Linked DNA regions of Diceros bicornis minor. The protein of the gene in region 1 interacts with the protein of each later gene in a pairwise test. Links are inferred from orthologs where the notes say so. Each region holds a gene or a part of one and is shown in the gene's direction. Other genes may lie near its edges. The genes, in order: KRT40, PIMREG, RWD domain-containing protein 2B and JOSD1.

Evidence for each region.
Region 2: the proteins of KRT40 (region 1) and PIMREG interact in binary tests that used the Homo sapiens proteins (3 or more experiments, as listed by UniProt). The two-hybrid records come from large-scale screens. The link is inferred for Diceros bicornis minor from reciprocal best matches to the Homo sapiens genes KRT40 and PIMREG.
Region 3: the proteins of KRT40 (region 1) and RWD domain-containing protein 2B interact in binary tests that used the Homo sapiens proteins (3 or more experiments, as listed by UniProt). The two-hybrid records come from large-scale screens. The link is inferred for Diceros bicornis minor from reciprocal best matches to the Homo sapiens genes KRT40 and RWDD2B.
Region 4: the proteins of KRT40 (region 1) and JOSD1 interact in binary tests that used the Homo sapiens proteins (3 or more experiments, as listed by UniProt). The two-hybrid records come from large-scale screens. The link is inferred for Diceros bicornis minor from reciprocal best matches to the Homo sapiens genes KRT40 and JOSD1.

The regions. Positions count from the first base shown.
Region 1 is NC_080757.1:40,394,559-40,402,125, reverse strand, and holds the start of KRT40 (keratin, type I cytoskeletal 40), read left to right. Parts: upstream 1-4,558; coding exon 4,559-5,005; intron 5,006-5,701; coding exon 5,702-5,784; intron 5,785-6,055; coding exon 6,056-6,212; intron 6,213-7,400; coding exon 7,401-7,562; intron 7,563-7,567. UniProt on the Homo sapiens protein: May play a role in late hair differentiation.
Region 2 is NC_080757.1:12,900,859-12,907,985, forward strand, and holds the start of PIMREG (protein PIMREG), read left to right. Parts: upstream 1-4,113; 5' UTR 4,114-4,189; intron 4,190-4,736; 5' UTR 4,737-4,770; coding exon 4,771-5,064; intron 5,065-6,744; coding exon 6,745-7,040; intron 7,041-7,127. UniProt on the Homo sapiens protein: During mitosis, may play a role in the control of metaphase-to-anaphase transition.
Region 3 is NC_080766.1:29,905,605-29,912,549, reverse strand, and holds the start of RWD domain-containing protein 2B, read left to right. Parts: upstream 1-3,934; 5' UTR 3,935-4,072; intron 4,073-6,945.
Region 4 is NC_080764.1:11,248,718-11,256,504, forward strand, and holds the start of JOSD1 (josephin-1), read left to right. Parts: upstream 1-4,787; 5' UTR 4,788-5,532; coding exon 5,533-5,717; intron 5,718-7,787. Other genes in the region: GTPBP1 (GTP-binding protein 1), read right to left, coding at 1,022-1,213.

The DNA.
Region 1 (7,567 bases):
AATAACAAATTTACTTTAAATTTAAATTAAGAGATTTTAATTTTAAAAATTAAATCTTTAAAATTAAAAATTTTAATTATTTAATCTTAAATTAAATAAGAGAGAAGCAAATGAAAATTCTAGAACTAAAGAGTACAATCTGAAATAAAGAATTTAATAGATGGCCTTAATAGCAGATTGGAAACTGCCAATTATTGAAATCGATGAATTAAGATAGCTCAAAATAATTAAGATAGATCAAAATTATCAAAAGTAAAACATTGAAAGAAAAAGATGGAAAAAAAAATAAAAAAACAGAACCTGAGCAGCCCGTGGGACAGTATCAAGTGGCCCAACACATGTGAAATTGGAGTTCCAGAATGATAAGATAGAAAGTGGGGCAGAAAAATTGAGGGAAAAAAGGGCTGAAATTTTTCCAAATTTAGTGATTTATTTTATTAGCCTACAATTCAACAATCTCAACAAACCCGAAGCAGGATAAACACAACCTAAACACACACACACACATCACACAGATAGAGTCAAACTGCTAAATAACAAAGATCAATAGACTATCTTAAAAGAAATAGGAAGGAAAAATACACATTAAATAGAGGGTACCAAAGAGAAAAAGGTTGCCAGACTTCTATTCAGATAAAATGGAGGTCAGAGGACAATGAAACCTCATTTTTAAAGTCCTGAAGGAAAAAAAAATATTAATTCAGAATTCTATAGTTTGCAAAAACAACATTCAAAATTGAAGGAAAAATGAAAACATTTTTAGATAAATAAAGCTGATAAAAAGCATTGTCTGAAAGCCTACACTGTGAGAAACACTAAAGGAAGTCCTTTTGGTTTAAAAGAGTAAATTATACGAGATGAAATCTCAGACCCACAGGGAGCATTAAAGAACACCAGGAGGGGGCCGGCCCCGTGGCTTAGCGGTTAAGTGCGTGTGCTCCGCTACTGGTGGCCGGGGTTCAGATCCTGGGCGCGCACTGACACACCGCTTGTCCGGCCATGCTGAGGTGGTGTCCCACATACAGCAACTAAGAAGGATGTGCAACTATGACATACAACTATCTGCTGGGGCTTTGGGGAGAAAAAGGGAAAAAAAAGAGGAGGATTGGCATGGATGTTAGCTCAGGGCTGATCTTCCTCACGAAAAAAAAAAAAAAACCACCAGCAATGTTAAGTGCAGAGGGACAGTAGAGAATATTTTGTCAAGCAAATATATTGTCAGGCAACTACTTTCTCTTGGACAAACAGCCCATGACAAATACACAAAAGACTGGAATAGCTGCTTCACAAAAGAAGATACCCAAATGGCCAATAAATGCATAAAAAGTTGCTCAACTTCGTTAGTCATTAGAGAAATGTAAATTAAACTATGAGATGACACTTTACACTGACTAAAATGTCTATAATTAAAATGTCTGACAACATCAAATGTTAGTGAAGGTATAGAACTAAATCTTTCATACATTGTTGGTAAGAGTGTAAAAGAGTATAATCATTTTGGAAAAAAGTCTGGTAGTTTCTTATAAAAAGAAACATGTACCAATTCCATGACTCAACCATTCTACTCTAGATATTTACCCAAGAGAAATGAAAATATATATCCACAAAAATATTTGTACAAGAATGTCTATAGAAGTTTTATTCATAGTAGCCTCAAACAAAAAATAACCCAAATGTTCATCCAAAGAAGAATGGACAAACAAATTGTAGTATATTCATACAATGTGATGAAAATAATCAAAATAATAAGAAATTGTCACATGTTGAGATGTGTAGGGAAGCCATTCTGGCTTAAACCTGATTCAGCCTAAACTTGTTTTCCCTAGAGCAGCCTGACTTATGACCTGTCAAACATGCATTGTACATCTGCTTTAAACATTAAACATTACCCCAAAGCAAAGGATGCACTGTCTGAGGATAGGGACGGATACCTCCCTTCCTCTGACGTCAATACCAGTGCTCTTTTGAAGGTAAATTTTTCTTGACAGAAATCAGGGTCAAGTTGACCTGCCGCACACATGCGAAACTGCAGCAAAATACCTCCTTGTGACTTTGAGGAAAAAAACGTATCCTTGTCAGGCTTGATGTATGTTCTTTGTTCTGAAATGGGATATTATCACGCTGCAAACCGCGCTTCTCTGGAACACTTTCTCCCTTTGTCAAGACTGCCTTCCTGGCTCAAGTAAAATTCACCTTATCTCTCCTATGTATAGAATGGTTACTGGTTATTTGTGTCGACAAATGAAATACTCCTCAGCAATTAAAAAAAAAAAGAACAAACTGCTGAAGCAAGCGACAACATGGGTGAATTAAAAATCATGATGCTGAGTGAAAGAAACCAGATACAAAAGTATGCACGCTGTGTAGTTTTACTCATGAAATTCACAAATAGAGAATAGCCATCTATAGTAATAGGAACCAGCACAGTGTTTACCTTTGGGAGGTGGGGATTGAGTGAAAATGAGCACAAGGGAACATTCTGGTGTCATGGAAATGTTAGATATCTTGACTGGGGTGATGGTTACATAGGTATATGCATTTGTCAAAACTGCATTTCACTATATGTAAATTTTATCTCAATAAAAAAAATGGAGGAACAAAAAGAATATGTATTTGACAACTATGGAGGCATTGGGGACCAAGACTCATAAATTGGAGATCTTACACTGGCATTATATTTTATTATCTATTAAGTGAGAGATACTCATATTGTTTATTTCTTGACAACACTATACTGTAGAAGTGACAGGTATTATTCTTCCCACTTTACAGTGAGGACTAACTAAGGCCCCAAGGGGCTACACGACTAGATGAAGATAATACAGCTAGTAAGTAACAGCATTGGGACTAGAATATAAATACTATGTCCACTAAGACAGTGTTCTTCGTCCTCCGCCAATTCTCCTTGTCTTTCAGTGTTAAATTTCTTTCATAAGGAATCATGTGTTAAGACAGAAACCTCTGTTAAGCCAAGTGGTTATATTTTTAGCAAACATTTATTAAGGGTCTATTATATTATGTCCCAAGTGCTGAGGGTAAGAAGACAAATAAGATACACCCGTCTTAAAAGAGACACTGTCAAAAAAAAAAAAAAAGGCACAAACATAAAAATTTTAAAGCAACGTGACATAAGTGGAGGTGTGTGCAAAATGCTCTGGAAAGAGCCGCCACCTCAATGTGAGGCAGTTGAATGCCACGGCAGCCGAGTCTTGACACGTGGGTTCACCCAGGAAAGGATGGTAGAAGAGCATTAGGCCAAGGCAACAGCACCAACAGAGCCTGAAGGATGAGACAGTATCAGGAAATCAGCTAGAAAGGTAAATTGGACCAGATTAAGGAAGGTCATATTTGTCAATCTAGGAAGTTTGGACTTTATAAGTGGAGAGTGACAAAAAGTAGCTTTGTATTTTACAGAAATGATTCTGGCAGCAGTAAGTGGATGTTCTGAGGTAAGGGCATATTACAGAATCAAACAACCACAACTGAAGGCAAGCAAAGTGAAACAGATTATGCTTCATAATGGAGATGAAATTCAAGGGGAAATCTAAAATAGCTACATCTCAAATCCCTAGCCGTTCGGTACTGCACCAGGGATTTCCTCCAACGGAATTGCTGATCTGGAACCCTCATCATAGAGTTTTATTCCCCAGTTCCAGTATTTTAAATTTTCATGAAATTGAGGCCTTCAAAAATAAATAAGAGAAAGCAGGTTCCATATCTCGGAAGAAAAGCCTTCTGTAGCATCCTTGCCCCTACTCTGAAGTGTAATCAATGAAAGTTCAGTTTCCCATGAGGCACAGGAAATGTGGAGAAGGCAAGTGTCAGGAAATCAAAGATCATAACTCCAGGTCTTGATAACCATTTTATATTCTGGCCTGGGGGGGCACAAATTATGCCCATCAGTTGTGTAAAGTGACTTTTCAATTTGCACACAGGCAGATCTGGTTCAAACACACACACACGCACACACACACACACACCTTAAACCCAGTTCCACCTCACTCCTCCACCACATGAGCACAGCAAGACCACAAAAAGCATTGCAAAGATTGCTAATTACACGAAACATTTTTATGGTGATGGCACAAACAAATGGCATTTAATGAGTTGTAATATTAACTTTAAAAGGAGACAATAAATAATTTTCAATGAACAGGATCAAAATCTATGGGAATATTATTTTCCATATTGATAATCAGTTGTATCTATAATTACTCATTGGCCACATTTTCTTTCTTTCCTTATTCTGACAAAAGGACAATGCTTCCTATGAAGATTTTCTGAAGCAAGCATTTTATCCCACTGGCACATGGAAATAGTGACCTTATTTAGTAACCTGAAGTTATGCTTCTTTTATGAGGCATAAAACTCTGTCAGCAAATAAACAACGCTAATGAATGTTCACATGAAAACTGGCACCAACAGCGATAAAGAAAACATCCGGTGCATTCTGTAAATACCCATTTGGGGGCTATATAAAAGTCTCAGCAGGGAAGGAGATTTTGGAGCCAGGCAACTGGAGTTTTGGAACTAGTCTTTGCTCTTCACTTCTAACAGGATGACTTCTGACAGCTCCCCCACGGGCAGCTCTTCTGAATCCTGTGCCAGGGCTTCTGATTGTGCGTTTGCTTCTACCTGTCCCGTGGAAACCACTTGTCTCCCCAGCGCCTGTGCTGCATCCAGATGCCAGACCCCTAGTTTCCTATCCAGGTCTCACTTGCCAGCCGGCTGCTTCGTGCCACGCCACTTTGCTGGGAGTTGTAATGTTCCGTGCTTGGTGGGGAACTGTGCTTGGTGTGAGGATGGGGTGTTCAACAGCAATGAGAAGGAAATGATGCAGTTCCTGAATGACAGACTGGCCAACTACCTGGAGAAGGTGCGTGGCCTCGAGGAGATGAATGCAGAGCTGGAAGGCAGGATCCGAGAGCAATGTGAAGAGGATATCCCATTGGTGTGCCCCGATTACCAGTGTTACTTTGACACCATTGAAGATCTCCAACAAAAGGTCTGGTGCCTTACTGCCCTAATGCTCCACCTTCCCAATCTCTGATTTGCTTTATCTTTTTACTGTTCTATGGAGGAAGCCAGGGAAAGGGGACTTCCAAGAGGCGATGTGATGTAGAGGGTCCAGAGTACTTAACTAGAAGTCAGGAAACACCAGCACTAGCCCCAGTGCTGCCTCTAATTACTGATTGACCACAATAAACTCACTTACCTCTAAACTTTACCCTATCATCTATAGAATGATGAAAAACTATTAAATCTAAAATTACTTCTGTATGTAAGGCTGTACATCTACATTATTTTTAGCATAAGATATTGAAATGTCATTTTTTAATCATATAATTTCACCTAGTAATCATTTTCTTTTCTTATTAATGAATTGTTATTATCATGGCTGGGGACATAGTCATAATACAAACTACTTACAGAGAAAATTTTGAGTTCAACTGCCAAGGAACATTGCAAAATGTCTTGGGTCATTAAAAAACTAAACCTTTTTATTTCTCTATTTTGTTTATAAATTGGCACTGTTTTTTTCCTTATGAGGTGACATGGTTAATAAGAAAAGCAGGCTGAAAGCTATTTTATACTTTCTTATAAAGACTTTTAAGAGATAAATAATGGCATAGATGTTACATGAATAGATACTTATGCTTCTTTCAAAAAAACATTTATTACATAATAACTTACTTTCCAGATCTTGTGCACGAAGGCAGAGAATTCTAGACTTGCTGTACAGCTTGACAACTGCAAACTGGCCGCCGATGACTTTAAGTCAAGGTAAGTTTAATTTGAATTTGAAAATAATTTATGGTTGCCTCTATCTTTCTCACACGCACACACACAGACACAAACACAGCACAAATATTCTCCATATAATATATTTTTATGCTAAGAATTCTCGCAAAGCTCGAATTTACCATTATTTGGGATATAAAGGAAATCACAGCACATGGCTTCCCTGAGTTCACGTGTCATTCATCAGCATGCCCTAGCACTCGGCACAGTGTCAGCAAAGTAAGCACAGGCTGTATCTCTTTTGCTGTGAAAGGTATGAGTCTGAACTGTCTCTTTGCCAGCTGGTGGAGACGGACATCAGTGGCCTGCGTGGGATCCTGGGTGAGCTGAACTTATGCAAAGGTGATCTGGAGGCCCATGTGGAGTCTCTGAAGGACGATCTTCTTTGCCTTAAGAAAAACCACGAAGAGGTGAGGAAAGTGGAAAATCGCTGAAGGGCTCTCAGAGTGACAAAGTTAAACTGATAGATTTCATTATGTATATATAAAATTGCACTTGGGTAGATGTGGCTTAAACTGAAACAAAATTACTCGAGGCACTACTACTATGCAGCCTGATCACTCCCATGTGTCTCTGAATGTAGATGTGAAATGACCCCTGGCCAGTGCCAGATGAAGGGGCCAAACTCATCACCTGCCATTACTTTTGTGGAGTTAGCTTTCTCTGGAGGCTTTATGCCACTTGTAACTCTAATCCATAGAGTGTGAAAATCAGGCTGATAAACACAGAGTATGAAGGTCATTTCAAAAAGGGGATAAATACCCTTAAGGTCCATCCATGTTGCCACAAATGGCAAGATTTCATCTTTTTTGTGGCTGAGTAGTACTCCACCGTAGATATATACCACATCTTCTTTATCCTTTCATCCATTAATGGGCACTTAGGTTGCTTTCAAGTCTTCCGTATGTGGAAGATAAACAAACAAACAAATACATAGATATGGAGAACAGATTGGAGGTTACCAGAGGAGAAGGGGGCCAGGGGAGGGCAAAAGGGGTAAAGGGGCACGTGTATGGTGACAGATGGCAACTAGACTTTTGGTGATGAACATAATGCAGTCTATACAGAAGCTGAAATATAATGATGTACACATGAAATTTATATAATGTTATAAACCAATGTGACCTCAATTTGAAAAGGGGGGGGGATAAAGACTCAGGCAATATTTGGACAAATATTTTTAAATATTCTGCATATATAATCTATGTAAAATCATAAAATATGAAGTGTATGATTATCTCATATTGATGAAGCTAAAAAATGAGAAGCTAAATGATATAACCAAGAACATTTTCTCTTTGAACATTTGTTGATGATAAGAGCTAACATTTATTGAGACCTCATTACGTGCCAAGGACTTTTGTAAGTGCTTTATACATATATTAACTCTCATATATCTCATAACCCTCTGGAAAAGGTAAAATTATTATACCCACTTCACAGATGAAGAAACTGGTGGTGAAAAAAGATTCAACCTAAGGAATCTAAATCTAAACTCCCTGCTCCAAAAAACAGAAGTGGGAGGCTATTGAGATGTCAAAGTGAATTCCCCCTCCCTGCCCATTCTGTGACATTCTTTACTCCATTTCCACTTTCAGGAAGTCAGCTTGCTTCGTGGACAGCTTGGTGACTGCCTCAGTGTGGAGCTAGACACTGCCCCCACCATCGACCTCAACAGGGTCCTGGATGAGATGCGCCATCAGTACGAGATGGTGCTGGCCAACAACCGCAGAGAGGCAGAAGAATGGTTCGCTGTCCAGGTCAG
Region 2 (7,127 bases), about 27 Mb from region 1:
TATGCTTCGTCTCCTCAGAGCTCTGAGGGTGCTGGAGGATTCTGAGCACCAAAGCCTTCCTCTTCTTGACTCCAGAGGGACTTGTTACAGGGAGAAGGGACACGGGGCCCCACCACAGGCAGAGACGAGAACTGGACTAGCAGCCGATAGACATGCCTCCAAAGAGCTGATCCCACCTCTTATTTTCTGAACTGTGGCCTTGGGTGTCCCCCATCCTAACTCCAGTTTCCCAGCTGAACCAGGAAAATCGACCTCTCCTGCCTCCCTCTCCAGGAAGTGGAGGGCCTCCCTGGAGCAGTGAGTGGGACCCCAAAACGGCACACCCAAGAGTCTTGACTCCCATGAGGAGCCGGTGGCATAGAGGGGGCCAAGTCTGGGCCAGCTGGTCTGGACCAGAGAACCCAGACTGGGGTAGTCGGATCAGGCCCTTCCAGGACCCCTCCCTGAGCGCCCAGACCCCCCGGCCCCCAGGGCCCAGCTCCATCCCTCTCTGGGGGCAGGGGATCAGGGTGGGGGTGCAGAGGCCCTTCTCTTCCGTTCCAGCCAGCCATCTGCATGCATAGGAGGGAAGACGGATACTTAGATGACAAAACTACAAAGAAAAATAAAAGCGACTACCATAAAAGTCCAGGGACGGAGGGAGGACACACAACAGGGGGTGGGGGCTGCTTCTGGGGTCCCAGTAATGTGCTGTCTCTTCACCCAGGTGATGGGTACACGGCTGTTGGCTTTACACGTATTCATTATACGAGACTTGATGTTTTCGCCATTTTTCTGCCAGTGATAAAATTCACAACGAAGAAAAAGGTCTAATCACGTCTCACACTGCTTAAAACTCTCCCGCTGTTTCCGTTGCTTCCCTCTGTAGAAGGGTCAGGAGGCACCCACGGATTAGAGGAGGTAGAACTGAGAGGTTTGGCAGACGGTGGGCGGGGTGAGAGGTGGGGGCATGAAGGGAGGGGGTGTTAAAGCTGATGACCGGGGTTTCACTGCTTTGAAGAATGAGATGCTTAGGCCAGAGCCTCCAGACGGATCCCCCCGCCACCCCTTGGCCCCCAAACTAACCTCCTAATGGACTTCATTAAATTGCAGCTCTAACAACCCCACGGTCCTCTCAAAACTCAGGCTTCCCTCTGCCCTCAGGATAAATTCTAAGCTCCTTCCCCGGTCAAGGGAGCCCTGCAGCCCCTACCTCTTGCCACCCCGGCCCCGCCCTCTCCATCTCACTCAGCCTGGGCAGTCCCCTTGCAGATCTCTCAATCAGAAAACCTCTTCCCCTCGCTTTGTCCTCCTAACTCCTCAGCTAAAACATGATATGCTGAGGGCAGCCTACCCTCACCCCCAAATCAAGTGGGGTTCCCCAACCCCCTTACACCCCCTCGTCGCCCCTAGCACTTCGCATTCGTGGCATCTTGCAGAGTTTAATGTCTGCTGCTTCCATCACACTGACAGCTCCATGAGGTCCAGGAAACCGGTGGAAGCTTTGCTGTTGGACAGGGAGCCCCCGGGGCGGGGCAGGGCTGGAGCTCCTCCTTCACTCCTCCATCCTCCTCCCCAGCAGAGGCGAGGACGGAGCTGGACCCCAAAAAGCCTCAGCTCGGAACAACTGTGGTTTTTCCTCCTTACGAGGAGGAGCAGGAGCCCCTGCGCCCACCGCCCCTCCGCTGGGCACCTGCTCACCTCAGCGCATCCTCCGTGCTGCTCCCTCACTTCACTCCCTGCAGGGCAGAGGGAGAGCCTTCCCATTCAGGTTTCTTCCTCCTCCTATCGTTGCCATGGAGACTGATCCTGTGCACCTGGCCCGCCAGTTATGGTTCTGAGGGAAGGGGGTGTGAAGCCCCAAGCAGGGAGGGCCTTGTCTCTGGTTCATTCACTCATTCATTCAGGCTGTGTAATCTAAGGTTAAGAATTCAGGTTTTCGAGTCAGACATCCAAGATTTAAGATCCAGCTCTGACTCTCCATCCCAACTTTGGTAAGACACTTGACCCACCTGAATCTCAGTTGTGTCATCTGTAATTTGTCATAGAGTCACCGTGAGGATTAAGGAAGAATAAAGGAATTCACTTATCGCACACGTGTTAAGGGCTCAACCAACTTAAGCTATCGTATTGACGCCAGTGAGGTGCCAGGCACTGCTAGAGGCACGGAGACAAGGCCTTGACGCAATTGTAACAAGGCAACCCAATTTGAGAGACTTTTTTTCTAAGTCTTTCCCACACTTTCAACTTAGTTTTCATAAAACAACTCTTGCTTTCCCCCTTATGTCTCGTTGGTAGAGGACCTGAACTACATTCTTTAATTCCAATAACAAATATAACTGGCACAAACAGGGCTGGGAACAAACACCTCTGATGCTTGGGAAATAACTTAATGGGGGAAAAGGGGGAAGAGGCAGACCAGAGCAGGGTTGTTCAAACTGCAGCTCACACCTCAGTAGGGAGCCATTGGGAGCTGTCACCAGCATGTTAAAAAAAATGAAGTAGATAATAAAATATCAAAGCCCATCACACAGTTTCAGGAAAGCTTGTTTCATTAAACATATGTGTGTGTGCTGGGCATCTTACACGGGTACTGTTCAATGTTGCCTTGAACATTCCTGTGCGAGAAGACCCTCCACACACGCATTCACACACGCACACACACACACGCACGTACATTCTTTGCTTGGTCAACTCATTCTCTGGATCTCAGCTTTAAATGACGTAATTTTTGTGTCATAATATTCTTTGATTAATTGATTATTATTTGACTCGTTAATGCCGGTCTCTCCCCACACACTAGATTTGAGCTCCGTGGGGGTAAGGAATGCGTCTGTTTGTTGACCTTTGGTCCATTTTTAGCACAGTGCTTCATCTGTCAGACACCAGTAGATATTTGGAAAGACATGAGAGGGGACACGGGGAGGGAGGAGGAGGGTTGGGAGAGACCAGGGTGACGTCGATTGGGGCGTGTGGGTTTAAGGTGCCTACAGCCCCAGGAGGAGATGGGCATGAGGGGACAGGCACAGGCTAAGGAAGGGCAATGTGGTGTGGTGTGGTGTGGTGGTGCAGCACGTGGACGCTGGTGCCAGACTGACAGAGTTTGAATCCTTGGCCCTGCTTTGTACTAACTAAGGGAGATTGGGACCCAACCGAAGCTCTCTCTGCCTCAGTCTCCTCCTCTCCTCTAGGCTGCAATGAGGGTCAGATGAGTTCATAATATACAGTGCTTGGGACACAGCTTCCTGGTGCACAGTGAGCGCCCCATACATGCTCATCACACTCACCATCCCGTGGGGGGTCACTGAGGCCAGAGAGTGGGTGAGATCACCCAGAGATAAAGAAGAGGCTAAGGACAGAGCTTCTAGGAGCCCTTCAGCTGAGACATCAGCAAGAGAGTGGCCAGAGAGGTGAGGGGGCGGGTTAAACCAGGTGAGGATGGGGACAGTGGCCAGTGCTGCTGTGAGGTCAGGTAAAAGAGGGAGATGGTGGCGGGAGATTTCTAGAGGAAGGCATTCGACTGGAGAGAGAGGAGCGTCAGTGGGGCACACCGGGTGTGGGGAGGGGGCTCATTGGAGGAGGGCTGGGTGATGTACTCTGGTCTGTTCTCTCTTCCAGGATGGGATTTCCTGGGGGCAGAGTTTGGTGGAGTCTGGGGAACACAGGAGGGCAGTGCCTCGTCTCCGGAAGGCAGAGAGAAGTTTGAAACAAAACCTCCACGGGAACCCAGGGCTCCGAGCTCCCAGCTGCCGGCTGTTTCTGACGGATAATCTGAGACTCTGGACAGGATGGGAGGGTCCCCAGGAGCCCGGGCCCGTGTCTCTGCCCCGCCCAGTCCGACCAGCCTGAACCCTTTGCATTTCGAGGAGGGGCCGCAGTGGCCTGGGGCCGAGCGTCCGCGAGGGGGCGCGGGGGCTGGGCCGGCGAGGGGCGCGGTCGGGACCCGCAGTTACAAAGGAGAAGCATCTCGTCGCGCCAAGCCTGGCGCGGTCCTGAGGGATGAATGGGAACGGCCGGGCCAATCCGCGGGCAGGATTCACAGCCGCGAGAGCAGGGAGCCAATCGGATCCCGGGCGCGGCAGCGATGCGGGAACGGAGCCAATCAGCTGTGACGACAGGACCAGGGGCGGATCCGCGCGGAGTTTCAAATCGGCCGGAGTGGGCGAGGAGCAGCTGTGCCGGGCGTCCGGTCGACGTTGGGGGCTGTTGGGTGAGTGCGGGCCGGGCCGTAGTGGGGCTTCTGTTCTGAAGGGACCGGGGCGGAGCGGGTAGGATGGGCACGGCACGTGGGCGTCTGGGTATTGCAAGGTGGAAATCGGGGTGTCTGGTCAGTATGCGGGGTCCTGGCGGGATCGCGTTGGGTCAGCGCGAGTTTGTGAAAGAGCCGCTGATGGTGCCCTGGCCAAGTGCTGAGGCTCGGGAGGGCCGGTCCTGACTCTGCCTCCCTCCCTGAGGCAGGAAGCGGAAAGCAGGCTGGGATGGAAGGACAGCTGTTTTAGACACTTGCAGCAAGGGACTGCAGGAGATGCTGACCGGCCTTGTACAGCCTCTGCCCTCTTCTGGGCCTCGCTGCCCTCGCCTTCTAGGAAGCATCCTCCTTCCTATTCCCACAGTTGCCGAGTGCCCTCACCCCCGGCCTCGGCCATCCACCCCACCCCATGGGCCTCCGTCCCATCTCTTCCCCTGTACCCAGGGTCTCTGTGGAGCCTGGGCATGGGGGATGCCTTGCTGACCTGCCTTTTGACCTCCTTCCCAAGGTCTGGTGGACAGAATAGACTCTTGGCCAGGCAGATGGCCTCTCGGTGGCCAAGCGTGGGGGTCTCCTTGCGCCGAAGATCTCTCCAGGACCAGGAGCAGCTGGAGGAGAGTGAGATGCTGCAGCCTGCAGTCAGCCATCCGGAGACCTCCAGTGGGGCCCTGGGCTCTCTGTGCAGACAGTTCCAAAGGAGGCTGCCTCTGAGAGCAGTCAGCCTCAACCTGGGGGTGGGCCCCTCCTGGAAACGCCTGGAAGCCCCAGAGCCAGGGCAGCAGGGTCTCCAGGCTGCGGCCCGCTCAGCTAAGAACGCCTTGGGTGCCGTGTCCCAGGTAATGCTGACAGCGCGAACCATCAATTTATGGAGGGCTTCCTCGGTGCTGACAGCTGCTGCCCTCAAGGAGCCCCAAAGAATACAGAGTCCAAGAGGACAGGGACATTGATGTTTTCATTGCTGTGTCCCAGCACCCCAAATAATTCCTGGCACTCAACAAATAGTTGAATGAGTGAAGGAAAACAGTGTCATGGAGGAAATAGATCCTCACAGTACAAGGTGATAAGAGCTGTATTGTGATAGGAAATTGCAAGGAGTGGCTGATGGGGGGTGACACCAAAAACAAGCTCGGTGGGTGAAGCCTTCCCAGAGGAGGTGATTCCGCAGAATTCACCCACAAAAGAGGAAGAATGAGGAATGTATGAGGCAGGTGCAATAGTGTGAGTCCAGAGCCAGAAATGAAGGAGAACTGACAGGCGCTTAGTCTGGGTGTGGCCAGAGAACAGAGAGCAAGCTGGTGCAAGAGAGAGGGATCTGGTGTGCTGAAGGTGTTAGACTCTCCCAAGAGTGATAGGGAGCCATGGGAACCAGTGGGAAGAATTTTCAACAGGGTGGGAATAGGGTCCAATTAGCATATTAGAATTTGTTCTTTAGCTACTCGATGGAAAAGGAGTTAGAAGAAGATTCCCCCTAAGGGGGCCTGGGGCCCTAGCCTTACAGAGGAGTGAACAACTTTAAGAGCTACTCAGAAGGTAGATGTGAGAAGATTTGGTATCAGATGAGATGTGTGGGCAAGAAGATATCACATATGTTGGGTGTGAGGTACCTGTGGGCCTTCAAAGTGGGTGTGTCTTCAAACCCGGAGCTGGAGATGTGGAAAGGTGTCCCCTAGAAAGGACAGAGGCCATGAGAGTGACTAGACCTCCAAGGAGAGAACTGGGGGGAGGGAGGAATCTCCTTTGTGTCTGATTGAGAATCTCAAGATTTGGGAGAGGGAAGCTGTTTCTGAACCCTTTGCAGAAAGGTCTCTGAGCCAAATGTTAGTCCTTGTCTGGAAGAGCCCTGTGATTGTTTTATACCCCAGGGATCAGAGAAATGAAATGAGGTAGGCTGCCCAAGGTCACCAAAGTTACTCACCGAAGGTAACTCGAGTCTCTAACCTCCAGACTCTGGTTTGCCGAGGCAAAGACAGCCTGGCTGAGGAAGAGCCTTCACAGCCGTGCCCCAGCTGGAGTGAAAGGCCCATGAGTTAGGGCTTGATCCTGTGGGCAGTGAGAGCCATAGAAGGGTTTTGAGCTGTTGAGTGTCATGGTCAGAGCTGCCCTTGAGAAGGATCTCTGCGCACAAATGTGGAGGATGGATAAAGTGAGTGAGACCAGAGGCAGGGAGACCAATTATCTCATGGTATCCTGGGGGGTCAGCCTGGTCTTCCCTGGGCCTTGCCTTTGATTCTTTGGGTCAACGTGTGTCCCACAACAGGGGCTGGGCTTAGACAAATGCAGGCTCCACGTCCAAGAATGGTTCTGCTGTGACCACTGCTCTCACACCCAGCTCTGAGCTGGGTCCCTGCCATGCACCCATTTCACACAGACTCATCCACATCCCTCACTCCTGAGACTAAAAGCTGCCTGTACTTGCAGGATAGCTGGTGGGCCAAGTGGGTAGAGGTACAGCCTGGAGACTCGGGGTAGCTCCTCCTTGGCTTGTCTGTGCTCACCTTTCCGTGTACCTGTCACAGAGAATCCAGGAGTCCTGCCAAAGTGGTACCAAGTGGCTGGTGGAAACCCAGGTGAAAGCCAGGAGGAGGAAGAGAGGGACACAGAAGGGCAGTAGCCCCCCAGCTCGCAGCCTGAGCCAGAGGAGCACCCGGCTGTCTGGAGCTGCCCCTGCCCACTCAACCCTGGACCCCTGGGAGAGGGAGCATCACGGCCTCTCCGCCCAGATAGGCCCACGTGGCCACCCCCTGCGACGGGCCAGGAGGGAGGCTGCCTTCCGGAGCCCCTACTCCTCGACAGAGCCCCTCTGCTCCCCCAGGTATGAGGAAAATGCCCTGCCCCAAAATACCAACTGGGCCCCAGGGGCTTCTGAGCCCCTTCTGGGGCTACCTGGAGCCAGAGGCAC
Region 3 (6,945 bases), on another chromosome or scaffold:
AGGGAGTCACTTGAATGATGTGGAAAGAGCTCCAACGAATTTTTGACAACTCTACAGGGCATCTAATGAGTCGTGAGAATAAAGTACTGAGAGTACCATCAGCTATAAAACATCCATAAATCTATTACGTTTCTCAGGCGAGCCTTCAGAGGAGAATTACCTTCTTGGCAAATTACTCTTTGCAGGACTCCACACAAAATTCGAATCAAAGCTGATCTTGTCGGCTCTCAGATTAATCCAGTTCCCTTCCCTCTCTGCCCTCCCAGTCTTCCCACGCCTGCTCGGTTCCATTAAAAATGCAAGCGCTTGGAAAACTTTATCAGCAGGTCTTAAACATGGCTTTCAAGTTTCGCGTAGATCTGTCCTACCCTAGAGGCACTGAATCGGTTAGGTGACAGATCTTGGTTTTCCTACTGACCACACGATACGGACGCGACAGCAAACCCAGCCCCAACCCGTGGAGAGCCCAAAGCCGCGCAGCGCCCGCCACACCCCCGCTTCCCTTCCAACTGCTCCGCACCCACGGGGGAACCTCGGCGGCCACGGGGGTCGAGAAGGGCGCCAGCACCGACAACTCATTGGCCAGCTCCTGGAACTGACAGGACATGAAGCCAATGAGGACGCGGTACCGGGCCGAGGCCGCGTAACGTGCTTAAGGAAGCGGGGCCTTCCAGAAGAGAACCAGCTGGGAGCAGGAAAATTCGGACTCTAGGAGCGCTGGAAGTCAGGCGAGCGGTGATTGCGAGTCAGAGTCAGTGGGACCAGAACTCACCCACAACGACAGCGCCCATAACTGCATCCCCTAACGAGCCTTTAGGCTGGGCAGCAAGCTCGGTCTTCCTCCCGGTGACGAATAGAGAGCGACAGAGCCGAAGCCAGTGACCCCTAGAAAGCAACAACTTCCGGCACGCGGCATTATGGGAAATGGCTTTGGCCCCCAGGGTTCCCCGGGGCTGACGCTAGTTAATCGGCGCCTGCGCGTGACTGGCGCCGGAAGTCCAGCCGCTGCTGCACCTGGAGTCTGGCTGTCACTGAGTCTTGTCTGCTCGGAAGTAACTATGGGGTTATTTACATGCATCTAAAATATGGGTACCTGGTGGTGGTGGTCAGAGGTTTGGAGTTTCCTGGAGGGCTACCTTACTCAAGTATATTACACCTGAAGGCTGGCGAAGCCCGGAACATTTCAATTTCACACAGTTCCCCTAATTCTGTCCAGTCGACTTTTAAAGTTAAGTACGTTGTCTTAAACTAACCTTGCCGACGGAGGGTAAAACTTTCAAACATGTACTGTTTATTCGTTCAAAATAGGTAACGGCCAAGCCCTCTGCGAAGAGAATTAAACAAACAAGCCTCGCCGCCCTGGAGTTGTGTTATGCAGAAGATACAATGATCGGTGGGGAAAAAAGATGCAGATGCCAATAGAAAAAATAGGCAAGGGATAGAAACAATTCACGATAAAAGAACAATTGGTTGTAAAAGATATGAAGAAATGTTCATCCTTATGAGTAATCAAAAGTAGGTTAAGAAAGTGGCGTCCTCAGCTGTCAGATCAGCCAGAGTACGATGGTTCAACATGGGGGTGAACTGGCTTTCCTGCTCTTTATTGCTGATATAATAATTTTTTAAACTGTCTTTACTCAGCACACAGGCATTATTTTTGTATTCTAAAACACATCCTTAGGGCTATTGTACCACCTGCTTCCTCTGCCTAGAATGTTGTTCCCCTTGATCTTCCGTCGTTGGTATCTTATTGTAATTCTGTTCACACGTTAAAAGTCACTTTCTCACAGAGAAATTGGCTGAGCAACCTAGGTAACAGCCACTCAATCACTCACATCGCCTTAGTTTACTACTCTGCCCCGCCCCCCCCACCCTGATACATACACAGAAATGTGCAAATGTAACCTCTTTGAGAGATGGAACATCTTTGTCTTGTTCATGACTGTATCTCTAGTACCTAGAAGAGTCTGGAACATAGTAAGTACTTAATAAATACTTATTGAAGAAACATAGTCATTAGAAATTAAATGCTTGTATGAGAATGTTCATAGCCTCACTCCTAATAGCCAAAAAACTGGAAACAGCCCACATTTCCATCAAAAGAAGATGGAAAAACTTGGAATGGAAATACAATGGAATACTACTAAGCAATAAAAAGAAACTGCTGAGAGCCAGCCCTGATGGCCTAGTGGACAAAGTTCAGCATGCTCCAATTCGGCGGTCTGGGTTCCATTCCTAGTCACTGAACCACACAACCGGTCTGTCAGTAGCCATGCTGTGGCAGCAGCTCACATAGAATAACTAGAAGGACTTACAACTAGGATATACAACTATGTACTGGGGCTTTGGGGAGAGGAAAAAAAAAAAGAGGAAGAGTGGCAACAGATGTTAGCTCAGGGCAACTCTTTTCCAGCGGAGGAAAAAAGGAAACTGCTGATACTCACAAGAACATAGATGAATCTTTAAAATATGACACTGAAAGGAGACTTACACAAAGTACCTACTGTGTAATTCCATCCATATGAAGTTCTAGAACAGGCAAAACTATTTTTGCTGGCTTGGCTGGGGACTGACTGGGAAGGAGCATGAAGGAACTTTCTGGGGTGCTGGTAATGTTCTATATCTTAATAGGGTTTGAGTTACACAGGTCTATGCATTTGTCAAAACTTATCAAATATACATTTAAGATGTGCATTTCATTTTTACTTCAAAAGAAAAACCTAAATAGTTTGACTCCTAATGTTATGCTGAAGTACTTAGGGAGAAGTATACTCATGTCTGCAATTTACTTAGAATTGCATCAAAACAGATGGATTGATGGATGGAGTAGATATATGACAAAGCTGGTCCAGTAAAATGTTATGATAGTGTCTAGGTCGGTTTCTTAACCTCAGGACTATGGACACTATGGACCAATAAATTCTTTGTTGTAGGGGGATGTCCTGTGCATTGTATGAAGTTGCACAGCATCCATGGGCTCTACTCATGAGACGCCAGAAGCACCCTTCCAGTTATGACAACCCAAGATGTTTTTTGACATTACCAAATGTCCCTGGGGAGCAAAATCCCCCCTCCTCCTTCCCTTTAGACCTGCTCCACTGCAAAATTTTCTCAACTTTGCTGTATACTTGCAATTTTTCATAAAAGTTGGACAAAAAAGTAGATGTTTAATTACATTGAAAAATGCTCACAAAACACCAAGTAGAAGATGTAGCTATGAAGACCTATGTACTAATCTTGTTGTTGTAAAAAAAAAAGAAAGGTTGTGGAAGTTAGCAATAATACCTGATACCAATGAATATCAGTGTTTACAAACATCTTACTGATTAGATTTCTAAAATGAATATGTAACATAAAGAAAAAAGTGCATTGCGTGTATTTAGATATCGAAGAAAAACACTGCTAATAACTCTCCTGTTGGAGTCGCCTTCAAACTGCCCTTTTATTAGCCGGGATAAATTTCTGTGCATGCACAGGGTCCTTCCTAAGGTCGACATGGCCACCAATCATGCTCACTCCTCCCAAATGCCTTGTTACTCAGTGTCCTTCAGGGACCAGCAGCATCGCTACTGCGTGGGAAGATCTTAGGAACGCAGAATATGGGACCCCACCGGCACCTACCGAATCCCGATCTGCATTATACCAAGATCCCCGAATGATTCCTCCGCAAGTTCGAACCTGAGGAGCGTTACTTTAATGGACCATTCCTTGACCGAGGAAACTGTGCTGGCTATACTTCTCCCTGACAGTAGCAGTAGCCAGGAAATGCCAATGGGGTAGAATAAAATCTCTGCAACTGAGAACGTTGTAGGGCTAAGGAACCCCGTCGCACCAACGCATCCCGCGACCAAGAGGTCGCTGCCGCTCGGGCTTCCGGGACGTGCGGCCCGCGAGCGCGCATGCGCCACCCGGGGAGGGCACTTTCTCGTTAGTCCGGGGCCGCCTTGCGGGAGCGGTTTGTGGGCGTCAGGTTGCCTAGTCCTACAGTTCGAGGCTCCCTCTGGATGAGAATTGAGCTGTCAGTGCTGCCAGGAAACCCGGGGTTACAGCACGACGGGGTCCGTGGCTCCAGGTGAGTCTCTGTGCACCGGTGCCCAGCAGGCCTGGGGGTCTCCCACGCTGTCGCTGCCTGTTGGACATTCGAGAACTTGACGATGTGCCGGCCCCGCCTCCCCACGCGCTGCGCTCCGCTCATTGGTTAGAGCTGGCGTCGGAGTTTCCTGGCGCCGCCCACAGCCAGGGATTCCCCCCGACCCCCAATGCCCTGTCAGTTGTTAGGGGCGACAGCGCCTGCGCGCCGGGCTTCTGTAGTGGGCCCTGGCAACTTTCTGAGTGTCAGGACTTGGGCAGCCCAGACAGGCTCGGCTCTTTAAAAAAAAAAAAAAATCTGCAAGGAAAAAGAATGATTCCACTCTGGAAACTCAAGTTTCCTCATACGTTCTTACAGCATTCAGTGAAATCTTGAGTCAGAAAAGGGTTTTTTTTTGCACTGAAATCTTAAATGTTGGTTTTTTTTTTTTTTGGGATTAAAATCTCATCTACGAAAGTAGTTTGACAAATAAATAACTGCCTTGTGACGTCACTCCCGTAGTTGTCCGCCCACAGGTCGCTTGGTCCCAAACTTCTTTGCTGATTCCATTTCATCTTCCGGACTTCCAAACTCAATGGGGCCTTCTCCCAACTTCATTCACTCCCTGGGTGACCAGACAAACATGCCTCTAAATAAATGCTGATAACTCCCAACGTTACAGCTCCAGCTGGATCGCTTATAAACTCCATATTTGTACGTCCAACTGCCTGCTGGACATCTGTACTTAATAGGTGTCTTAGTAGGCACTTCACTACTTAGAATCTCTAAAACCAAGCTTCATGTTTCTACCATCTTCCCCATTAAATAAATGGCAAATCCATCCTTCCAGTTTCTCAAAGCACTGGAGTCATTCTTACCTATCACGTATATTTCATCAGTAAATCCTGTTGGTTCTCCTCTCATGTCCAGAATGTGAACGTTGCTCTCCGCCTCGACCATCACACCCTAATCCAAGCCACTGTCGTCCCTCCTTATGTCATTGTAGTACCCACCTGGTCTCTCTGCTTTCATCCTTGTTCCCCTCCACTGTTAACAGCAGGAAGCCTGGGCATCTTCATAAGTAAGTCAAACCCCTCCAGGGACCTTCCCTATCAGTCAGGATAAATTCCAAAGTCCTGGCCATGCCCTGTGAGTCCCAACATAAACCGCCACATTTTTCCTCTCTAACTTTGTCTCCTGAAACAGGTTAGGAGACACTGCCCCAGGCTCACTTGGCTCTAGCCACCTGGCCTAGCACCCTCCTGCCCCAAGGCCTTTGAATCTGTACCTTTTGCCTGGAAAACTCTGTGTCCAGATAAGCACATGGCTTCCTTCTTCAGTGCCTACAATCTCTTCCCTACAGTCACCTTAGCAGAGAGGTCATCCCTGACCATCCCTCGTAAAATCGAACCAGCCCTCCCACTTGCTCCTTATCTTCAGTCTTCATAAGTTATCCAATACACATATGTATTTGTTTTTGTTGTCATGGTCTTCTCCCGCTAGATAAAATCTCTACGACAGCAGAGATTTTTTGTTCCTTTTGTTCATATTATAGTCTTAGTGCCAAGGACAATGCTTGACATGCAATAGGTACTCAAGAAACATTTATTGAATGAATGACCCATAATAATAACAAGCACTTTTATAGCACTGATTCTGTTGCCAGGCACTGTTTTAAGCACTTTCCACACATCCTCATTTAATCATCATGGCAACCCTGTCACTCTCATTTTGGAGATGGGGAGATGAGGCACAGAGAAATTAAGCCACCTGCCTAGATTCACACAGTTGGTAAGTGGTACCTTGGCAGTCTGGTAACAGAGTGCATGCTTAAACCACTATGATCTAAAACCAAAGTCAATTCATTTCCTCTAATAACCATCTAACGAGTTGTTTCTTAGATTCCTCAACTCCAAAACAGACTAGAAAAGATATTTATGGAATTCCAATAAGTCCAGGAATTTTAAATATTTATGAAGATTTTTTTAAATAACAGAGCAAATGCTTAAGTTAGAATGTCAAGTTGAAATAGTAGGATATAAAATTATGTGAAGTCACTGGTTAGTAAAGAAAACATTGTGTTTAAAGGAGGGAGGAGTGTTTGCAGCTCTAACAGAAATTTGAAAAGGACTCAAAATGAAGATGGTGGGTAGCTTTGGCAATACTTAACTACTTAAATTGGGGTGGCTAGATGACAAAGCAGGGATTCCTGTTCTGTGGAGAGGAGAGCTAATATCATTGGGTCTGGAAAAAAATGTTCTGGGGTCAGATAGGTTTGGGATACTTTGCAAACTAAACCCTCTTCTTAGAAATTCACAGTGTGTATTGGGATCTAACAATAAAGACTCTGAGAAGTCACACAAAAAGTGTGCCTGTATAATTTATTGTCCAAATAAGCCAGTCAGGACAATAGGATGACCCATGGTCACCCTAAAGAAACCTGTTGAGGGATCAGCCCAGTGGCACAGCAGTGAAGTTCACATGCTCCACTTTGGCGGCCGGGGGTTCATGGGTTCCGATCTGGGTGTGGACTGACGCACTGCTTATCAAGCCATGCTATGGCAACGTCCCGTATAAAGTAGAGGAAGACGGGCACGGAGGTTAGCTCAGGGCCAATCTTCCTCAGCAAAAAGAGAAGGATTGGCAACAGATGTTAGCTCAGAACTAATCTTCCTCACCAAACAAAAAAAAGAAAGAAAGAAAGAAACCTGTTGAACTTGGTGTCATTCAGCATTTCAAGTACTTTTTAACCATCAAGGGCTTGCTGTGTGATGTGCATAAAAGCAATACTATGGCAACTGCTTTTGAGAGAAGAAAGAGCTTTATTGCAAGGTCGACCAGCAAGTAGACAGGACGCAGGGCTCAAATCTGTCTCC
Region 4 (7,787 bases), on another chromosome or scaffold:
CACAAACATTTTCAAAGCTCGTTAAACATCTCTATTGTAACTATGCAACAACAGGAAGGAGGTGGTATTGTTCTATCTTCCATCCGCTGCTATTTAATCTGCACAGGGAATTATCAGTTTATTCAATTCACTTCAAACATTTACTGAGTAGTATACATCAGGCACTATAGTAAGCGTCTTACATACATTTCTCATTTTTACAAGGCATCTATACTTTAAAAATGATGTAGCTGGAGAACTGAGAGGTTAAGAAACTTTTCCAAGGTCACAGAGCCTTTTTAAGTGGCATGACAGGAAAGGCAACCCAGCTCTGTCCTTTAGCAATGCTAAGCACCTTCAAAACAGCAGTCACATCTTACACTCACTCTTTATCCCCACAATGCCAAGCAGACGGCGAGCCCTTAATTCCCGCCTACCTTCTCAAGAGCTCAGAAGACACGCTTTAAAACGTCCCTGATTACTCCATTCATACGAGGCGAGCTTCCACCCCCAGGAGGGCGAGATTATGGGTCACGCCATCTCTCACTTCTGTTCTGGGTGGATGTGTAAAGCCCTAGACATTCCTCAGACACCCTTCTCCCCGACAGGGCGACTACTTTCTGTTCCCTCTCCCGACACCAGGAAGGGACGCGGCCGCCTCCCCGCCCCCTCGGACTACCGGACCCTCCCGCCCCCGCTCCCCCTGCCCAAGCCGCCCGCCGGGCACGGTCCAGGGAGAGGACCACTCGGTCTCGGGGGGCGGCCCCGCGCGGGGAGCAGGCCGCCGGCGTCGGGCGCCCCTGTTCCACGTGGCGGAGCCCAAGGGTTGCGATCTCGGCGGGAGCCGGCCGGCGGGAGGCGGGAGGGCGCTCGGCGCCGCCGGGGGAGGACGCCCTCGCCCGGGAGCCCCTAGCGCGTCCCGCCACGGCAGGTGGGCGGGCTCGGGCCCTCCCGCGCCCGCCGTCGCCCCGGAGACGGCTCGGCCCGCCGCCCGCTCCCCTCAGCGCCCCGTCCCCTCAGCGCCGCCGGCGCCCGGGCCTACCTTACTGGTGAGGTCCAGCTCCGGCTCGCCGTTGAGCGCCTCGCCGTCCTCGCTGCAGTCCGAGTCGAAGCCGCCGTGTAGCCGGGCGGCAGCCGCCGCGGCCCTGGCCGCCCCCGGGGAGCTGGGCTCGGGGGCGAACATCGAGGCCGGGACCGGCGAGTCCATCGGGGAGCGACTCCGCTCCGCCGCCATCTTTAATAACTTAGGCTAATTCGTAGCCGGCCTCCCCGCCCTCCCTGGCTCATTTGCCTAATATATGCGGGGCCCCGCCCCGCACCTCAACTGAATAATCTATGCAAAATTTATCCAAACGCGTTGGGGGTGACACGTATCTCTAGCTAAGAAACAACCGACGGCCTCTCAGCCACCAATCGCTGCAGCCCTTTCAAGCACCTAATGAATAATCAATGAGGCCCAAATCCCAACAACAACCATCTGAGACGTCACGCGCCTTGATCGCAGCTCGGGAGGGGGCACCGTGGACAGCACCGTGTCCACGCCACCTGCCCGGAGCCTTCCCGCCAATGGGAGCAGAGCACAGTATGACTGACACAGCAGCCACCCAATGAGGAGAGAAACACACGTAACGTTTACCCTCTCCGCCCCTCACTCTCCTGCTTCCAGAGGCGGTGCTCAGCTTCCAAATCTTACCGCAAAACAGTGGGCGCCGAGAGCTTTCCGATGATGGACAGGGACAAGGCCCAATCTAGTCATCGGATAGGTCCCGCGCCTCGGGCCACCGCCCCCAGAGATAGTAAACTGCACAAGGCGCCGCCCACTCAATTCAATGACTCCAGGCAGTCACTGGAAGACCGAGGTCCGATGCGCTGGCACTCTCTAGGCAATCTTGACAGTAGGATCGATGCCTGGGATACTATAGCAGCCGGAGCGAGGCAATTAATTAAACGCTGACCTTGGGGAGAATTCTCCATTCACTGTCTCTGCGGAGAAAGCAATTACACAAACAAAAAAAGAGGCAACCTGCTAAAATGGAAGCCAAAAGCACCTCACCACATTTATAAACCCTTTAAAAAAAACAGCAGGTCCAAAATGGAGTCACTTAGGCTAAGCCCCTTGACCAAGACTTAATACCTCACCTAATTGCAGTTTCCGCTTCTCCCAGGAGTGGAAGCAATCAGTCTGGAATTTTCTGATCAACACTAGTAGTGAGGTAATCTGCCTGATAAGCCCCCTGCCCTCCCCTACGGAAAAGCCGCTCTTTGAACTTCTTTGTCCCATCCTCTTTCCGCCTATAAAAACCTTGCATTTTGTACACCTCCTTGGAGCTCCTATCTATTTGCTGGATGGGATGCTTCGCTATTCATGAATCGCTGAATAAAGCCAATAAGATCTTTAAATTTATTGGGTTGGATTTTTGTTCTTTAACAGAACTGTGAAGCCGAGATCTAGGGTCTGATAACATAGTTTCTTATGGATGATTCTTCCAGAGTGTCACCAGTTGTGGAAAGCACCAATGCAAAACACCATCAGCACAGTTTTTAGTGTCTTGAATTGCTGTTTCAATTCTGAAAAGTTTGATGAAATTAGGGATTAGCCAAATTCTTACAGTGCTGGTTTTGGCCACTCATCCCAGGCAGCAAGCAAGAAAGAGCAGCCATTTGAGAAGGTAATATACCCAAGATTTAGGGTTTGGAACACAGGATTTAGCGAGCAAGAGGCAGTCTTCAAAATGCCCTTCAGTTTGAGGGATCCACCTGAATGGAAAAAAAGGCAACCTCCTCTTGGCTTGTTTTCAACTACCTACAATCAAGTTTTATGTGTACAAATACAGCTGGGAATCTGGGACAAGAATCATCCAAATCCAAAGGTCTTGTTAACAGTTCTTCGAATGTGTTTCTTTTTCTCTGGCTAAATTGCTCACCACTATCCTATATATTCCTCTATGAGGTAGTTACAAATATTGAAATCTTGATTTGTCAGAAAAGCCAAATATCAAGGCATTGCAGTCTAGAACGAAAATTGCTATTTAATATCTTACCAAGTGGCTCGTCCAGAAAGAGTTCAAGTTCAGAATGTGCTGACACCTGACGGTACACTAAAAAACATGCCCTTCTCACTACAGGGTTTTGCCCAGAAAAAATATTGTTCTTGAATTGAATAGAAAAATCTAAAATCACATTTTAGAGAGAGAATTCCCTACCCATCTTTATATCCTCTTTCTGAAGATAGGTTAGAGCCTAGGTTCAAATCGTGGGTCCACTACTTATTAGCTATGTTTACCTCGAGCAAGTTAATGAACCTCTCTGAGCTTCAGTCGTCTCCTTTAAAAAATTAAGTATCTACCTCACAAGATAGTTAGCAGTAAACGAGTTAATATATACAAAGCACTTAGCGCGTGCAAGCCTCCATTAAATAATCTTGTGCAAATACAACTGTAACCATTAAGTGGCTTAAAAATTACACATATTTAAGATAATTCAAAAGTTGCCTGGATCAGGGCAGAGAACTCCCGACCACATGGTAGTCACTCAAACGTGTGTTAAGTGATAACTGTGTGTCGAGTGTAATGGTGTTAAAAGAGCCGTGTTGAAGCAGGGTTAAAGAAATAACTGAATTCCAAGAGTTATCTCTTTTATTGTTTTTCCAACTATCTAACCCAAAAGGAGGACAGCTAAGGTGGATAATATTTGCTGATGCCTTCCACATGCCCTAGGGGTAGATAAAGGGGTAAGAATCCACGCGGGACTGAGAGTTTACCTTCCTGACACGCACACTGCGCGGTTTGCTGAGAAAACCCAGAAAGCTCCGTGGCAGCCACCGTGAGACCAGGGGCGAGGCGGAGTGCGAGAGAACAGTGGTCTGTGTGTAGTGAACCGAAATTCGACACCAGGGAACTGAAATACGACTCTCCATTCCACTTGAAATGCCACTCCAGGAGAGGCACTTACCCTCAGAGCTCCAGGAAAGTGCGGAGCGCGCGGGCCCACTAACCCAGAGAATTTGCGCGCGACAGCGTCAGTAAGGTGCTTTGAAATCACCTGGTGAACGACGCGCTAGGACAACACAAAACGGTCACCGCAGGAGTAGCTAGCCCAGGTTCTAGAAAGCACTGCGCCCGCGAGGCCCAGCTCAGAGACACGGGTGGGGTAGGCAGAGTGGCAAAGTGCAGCCGCAGGCTGGGTCGCCGCCCCAGAACGGCGCCGACGCCCGGGGAAGGGGAGGGGCGGGCGTCAAGGCGGGACTCTTCGCAGCCGCCCCGCCCACCCATCCCCACCCGGGAAGGAACAGAGCCTGGGAGCTGAGCTCCACCGGCCGCCGCCGCCGCCTCCGCCGGGCTCTGCAGCCACACACGGGGCGCCCCGCTGGCCGGTGCACCCGCCGGAACCCCCGACGCTGCCCGCACCCGCCCAAAAGCCGCGCGGCAGCCGCGGCCCCAAGACCGGCGCCGCTGACGTCAGGCTGACGTCAGACGTGACGCGGCGGCGGGGCGGGAGCGGGGAGTGCGCAGGAGGGCGTTTCCGGAGCACGCGCTGGGCGAGGGCCGCTGACGTCGGGCTCAGGTGCGCGCGGTCGCCCGCCCGCCCGAGCGCGGCCGGCAGCTCCAGGTGGCGGCCCGAGGCGGCGAGGGGCGGCCGGCGGCGCGTCCGCGAGCGGTCCGGGCGGCGTGGGCGGCCGAGTGGGGACTGGGGTTGGGGGAGCGACGGGAGGGCGCCTCGGCTTGCACTCACGTGACGGGCGGGGAGGTTGGGGTGGGGGCGGCGAGGCGGGCCGCCGAGGGCGAGGCGAATTGTCCCGCCACCTCTCGAGGGCCTGCCGCTCCCTGCCCAGGACCCTCTGTCTGGGGAGCGGGACCCGCCGCGCTACTTCCCGGCCAGCCTGCTCCTTCGCGCGGCCCGCCCGCCCGCTGGGGCTGACCGCAGTTGTCTCCTCCGCAGGGCCGGGGCAAGAGGGCGAGAGTCCGCGCCTACCGAGGGAGCCGCGCCCTGCGGGGCCCCGCCGCGCCCAGAGGATGGAGAGCCGCCCCCGAGGCTCCCGCACAGCCCGCCGTCTCCCGCTGGCCGGCCTTCTCTAGCTGCTCGAATTCTGCGTTTTATCCAGCACCTAGGCCCTGTCTCCTGAGTAAGTGGCGTTGTAGTTCGAAAGAAATGGAAGAAAAGGAGCGATGTGACCGATTCCGTTAAGTCGTCCTGCATTGAGGCCTGGTTGGCATTTGCAGAGAGGAAAATACAGCAAAGAAAACCGCGTTTTGGGGGAGGAGAGAAGGTAAACAAGGTCTTAGGTTTTATATGATTTTTAAAAATTCTGCACTTTGACAGCGGTGGCGAAATACACTAATCCAAAAGTTATTTTTCTATTGAGAAGAGAGAAGAGGTGGATTTCTTTTTGTCCTTTTGGTTTCAACCTTTTCTCCCCGTGACAAAGCATAAATCATGGACACTAGAAAATAAGGTGGACCTCAGGAATCCTGAAAAGACTGGGAAGCTTACATTCTTTGTCAGGAGAGGAGGGCGGGGTGTTTTTAGGCCTCTCTGGAACCTAAAACGAAAAACATGAGTTGCGTGCCATGGAAAGGAGACAAGGCCAAATCTGAATCATTGGAGCTGCCCCAGGCAGCACCCCCACAAATCTACCATGAGAAACAGCGCAGGGAGCTTTGTGCCCTGCATGCACTCAATAACGTCTTCCAGGACAGCAACGCCTTCACCCGGGAGACGCTGCAAGAGATTTTCCAGAGGTAGGCATCTTGATACTTTGCTCTTTCTGAATTTCTGTAGGTGGGGCAATGTGTCAGCTACAAAAACCTTCAAACCAACGGTGTTATTGCTAGATGCCGTTAGCAGGTATAAGGGACGCGGGAATGGGAAAGATAATAATCACTACCCTTTATTGAGCACTTACTGTGGACCAGGCACAGACAGTGTTAAGAGCCTCAGTTGTGTCATCTCAAGTGATCCCCTCAACAGTCCCATGGAATATGTGTTGCTGTTTCCGTTTTATGGATAAAGACAGGGCTCAGAGAAGTTCAGTCATTTGCCCAAGTTTGAATTCAGGTTTGTATCTGTGCTGTTGACCACTATGCTATAATGCCTCTCAAGTCCTGCCGCCAAAGAGTTTACAGTCTAGAAGGGGGACAAGATGTGTACACACTCAGTCACCTGTCATCAGAGGTGGAATATCGTGGGTTCCATAAGAAAGGTATCCACAGTGCTCAGCTTTTCTGTGAGGCCACGTGCTTTTTATACATTGTGTAGCCCTCCCAACAGTCCTTGTACTCTCTCTATTTTACTGATAGAGAAACAGGCCGAAAGATCAGGTGATTTGTCCAAATAGCTTCTAAGTAGCAAAGCTATGATTTAAAGCTGACTCTAGATCTCCTCCTGGTTCTACTTCATTTCAGATGGATTTTCTTAACGATTTTGCCCAATGCTACTGGACAGGTTGACAGAAGTTCAGCTTTTTTTCTCTGCTTTGATGTTCTAAAACTCTTTTATCAAGGGGTTTGAGAATTAGTTCTGCGGTGTCTGGATGGACACGGCAGGACGTCTGCAATCCATAGCAACTTTGGCAGTGAGCCTATTTCATTACTCCAGCTAGACAGGTGGAGGCCTGCTCCGTTCTCAGTGCAGAGAAAGCTCAAGAATTCTTCAAGCAGTGCATATTGGCCGTTTCAGGAGACCCTTTTCTGACTCCCTTCACTCGGAGATGAAATTATTGCCCCAGAAGGACCTGAATTATAGCTGGAAACAACCTGTTTGGGGTGATTTGTGAAGCATAGGTGTGGATCATTTACCTTGAAAAAACCATAGATCGTCTCTTAAAAGGATGTTAATCCCCAGTGTGCTGACAAAATTAGAATGACGGCAATTATTTTCCAATGCCGATAATAACCATAGTAATGCCTTAGCAGGGCAAATGTGTCCTTTCCATCATGGCCATTATCTGGCAAGCAGAATTAAGGCTTCAGGAAATGGGGCCCTGGGAGGTGAGATAGTTTGTCTCAGATCACCAAGTCATGGAACTGAAAGGAGTAGAAAGGAGGCTAGTCCCTTAGACTGCCTCCTTTTGTCTAGCCGTTAATATTTCTTTTACTCCTAATTGGGTATTTGCAAATTATACTAGGGAGAAGGAAAGGACTCACAGCGAGTACTTGGATTTGCTTGTACTTGTGATACGTGACGATCTTGCAACAACCTTATCAATAGTGATCCTAGGAAACTAGGGTTCAGTTTAAGTAGTTTGCCCGGTTTCACTCACAGGGAGATGGCAAGAGTCAAGATCCTGTGTGTTCTTTCAGAAGTTTTTCACTTCTGTAGGTTTGGCCCCTGGTCTGACATGAGGGTGATCACTAACAGAGGTGAATGCTCACTCTGGGCAAAGCACTGTTCTGAGCACCTTCCTTGTGTTAGCTCACTCCTCACGCCAATCTTACAAAGTAGATTATTTCCCATTTTTCCAGATGAGGAAAATCATGGCACAGAGAGTTCCCAGAGCTGTTAATGGCAGGATTTGGACCCGAGCTTTGGGCTTCCAGGGTCTGCCCCCTAACTGCTCTGCTGCTTCCTGAGTATTGGAACGGCATGTCAGAGCAATTGTAGCATCAGGAGCCATTCACCCTGCTCGGAACTTGGGCCTGGGTCTGAAGAGGTGCACTATGATTATAAGCTATTTGTGGATGGTAGAGGTACTCTTTCAGCTGTGTATTCCCTCAATGAAAGAATGCTAAATATTTGCTAAACACTCACTTGGAACCAGAGTTCTATTCCTGGCTTGTAAGGCTTTAGCAAGTTGTACTATACTCCTCAAT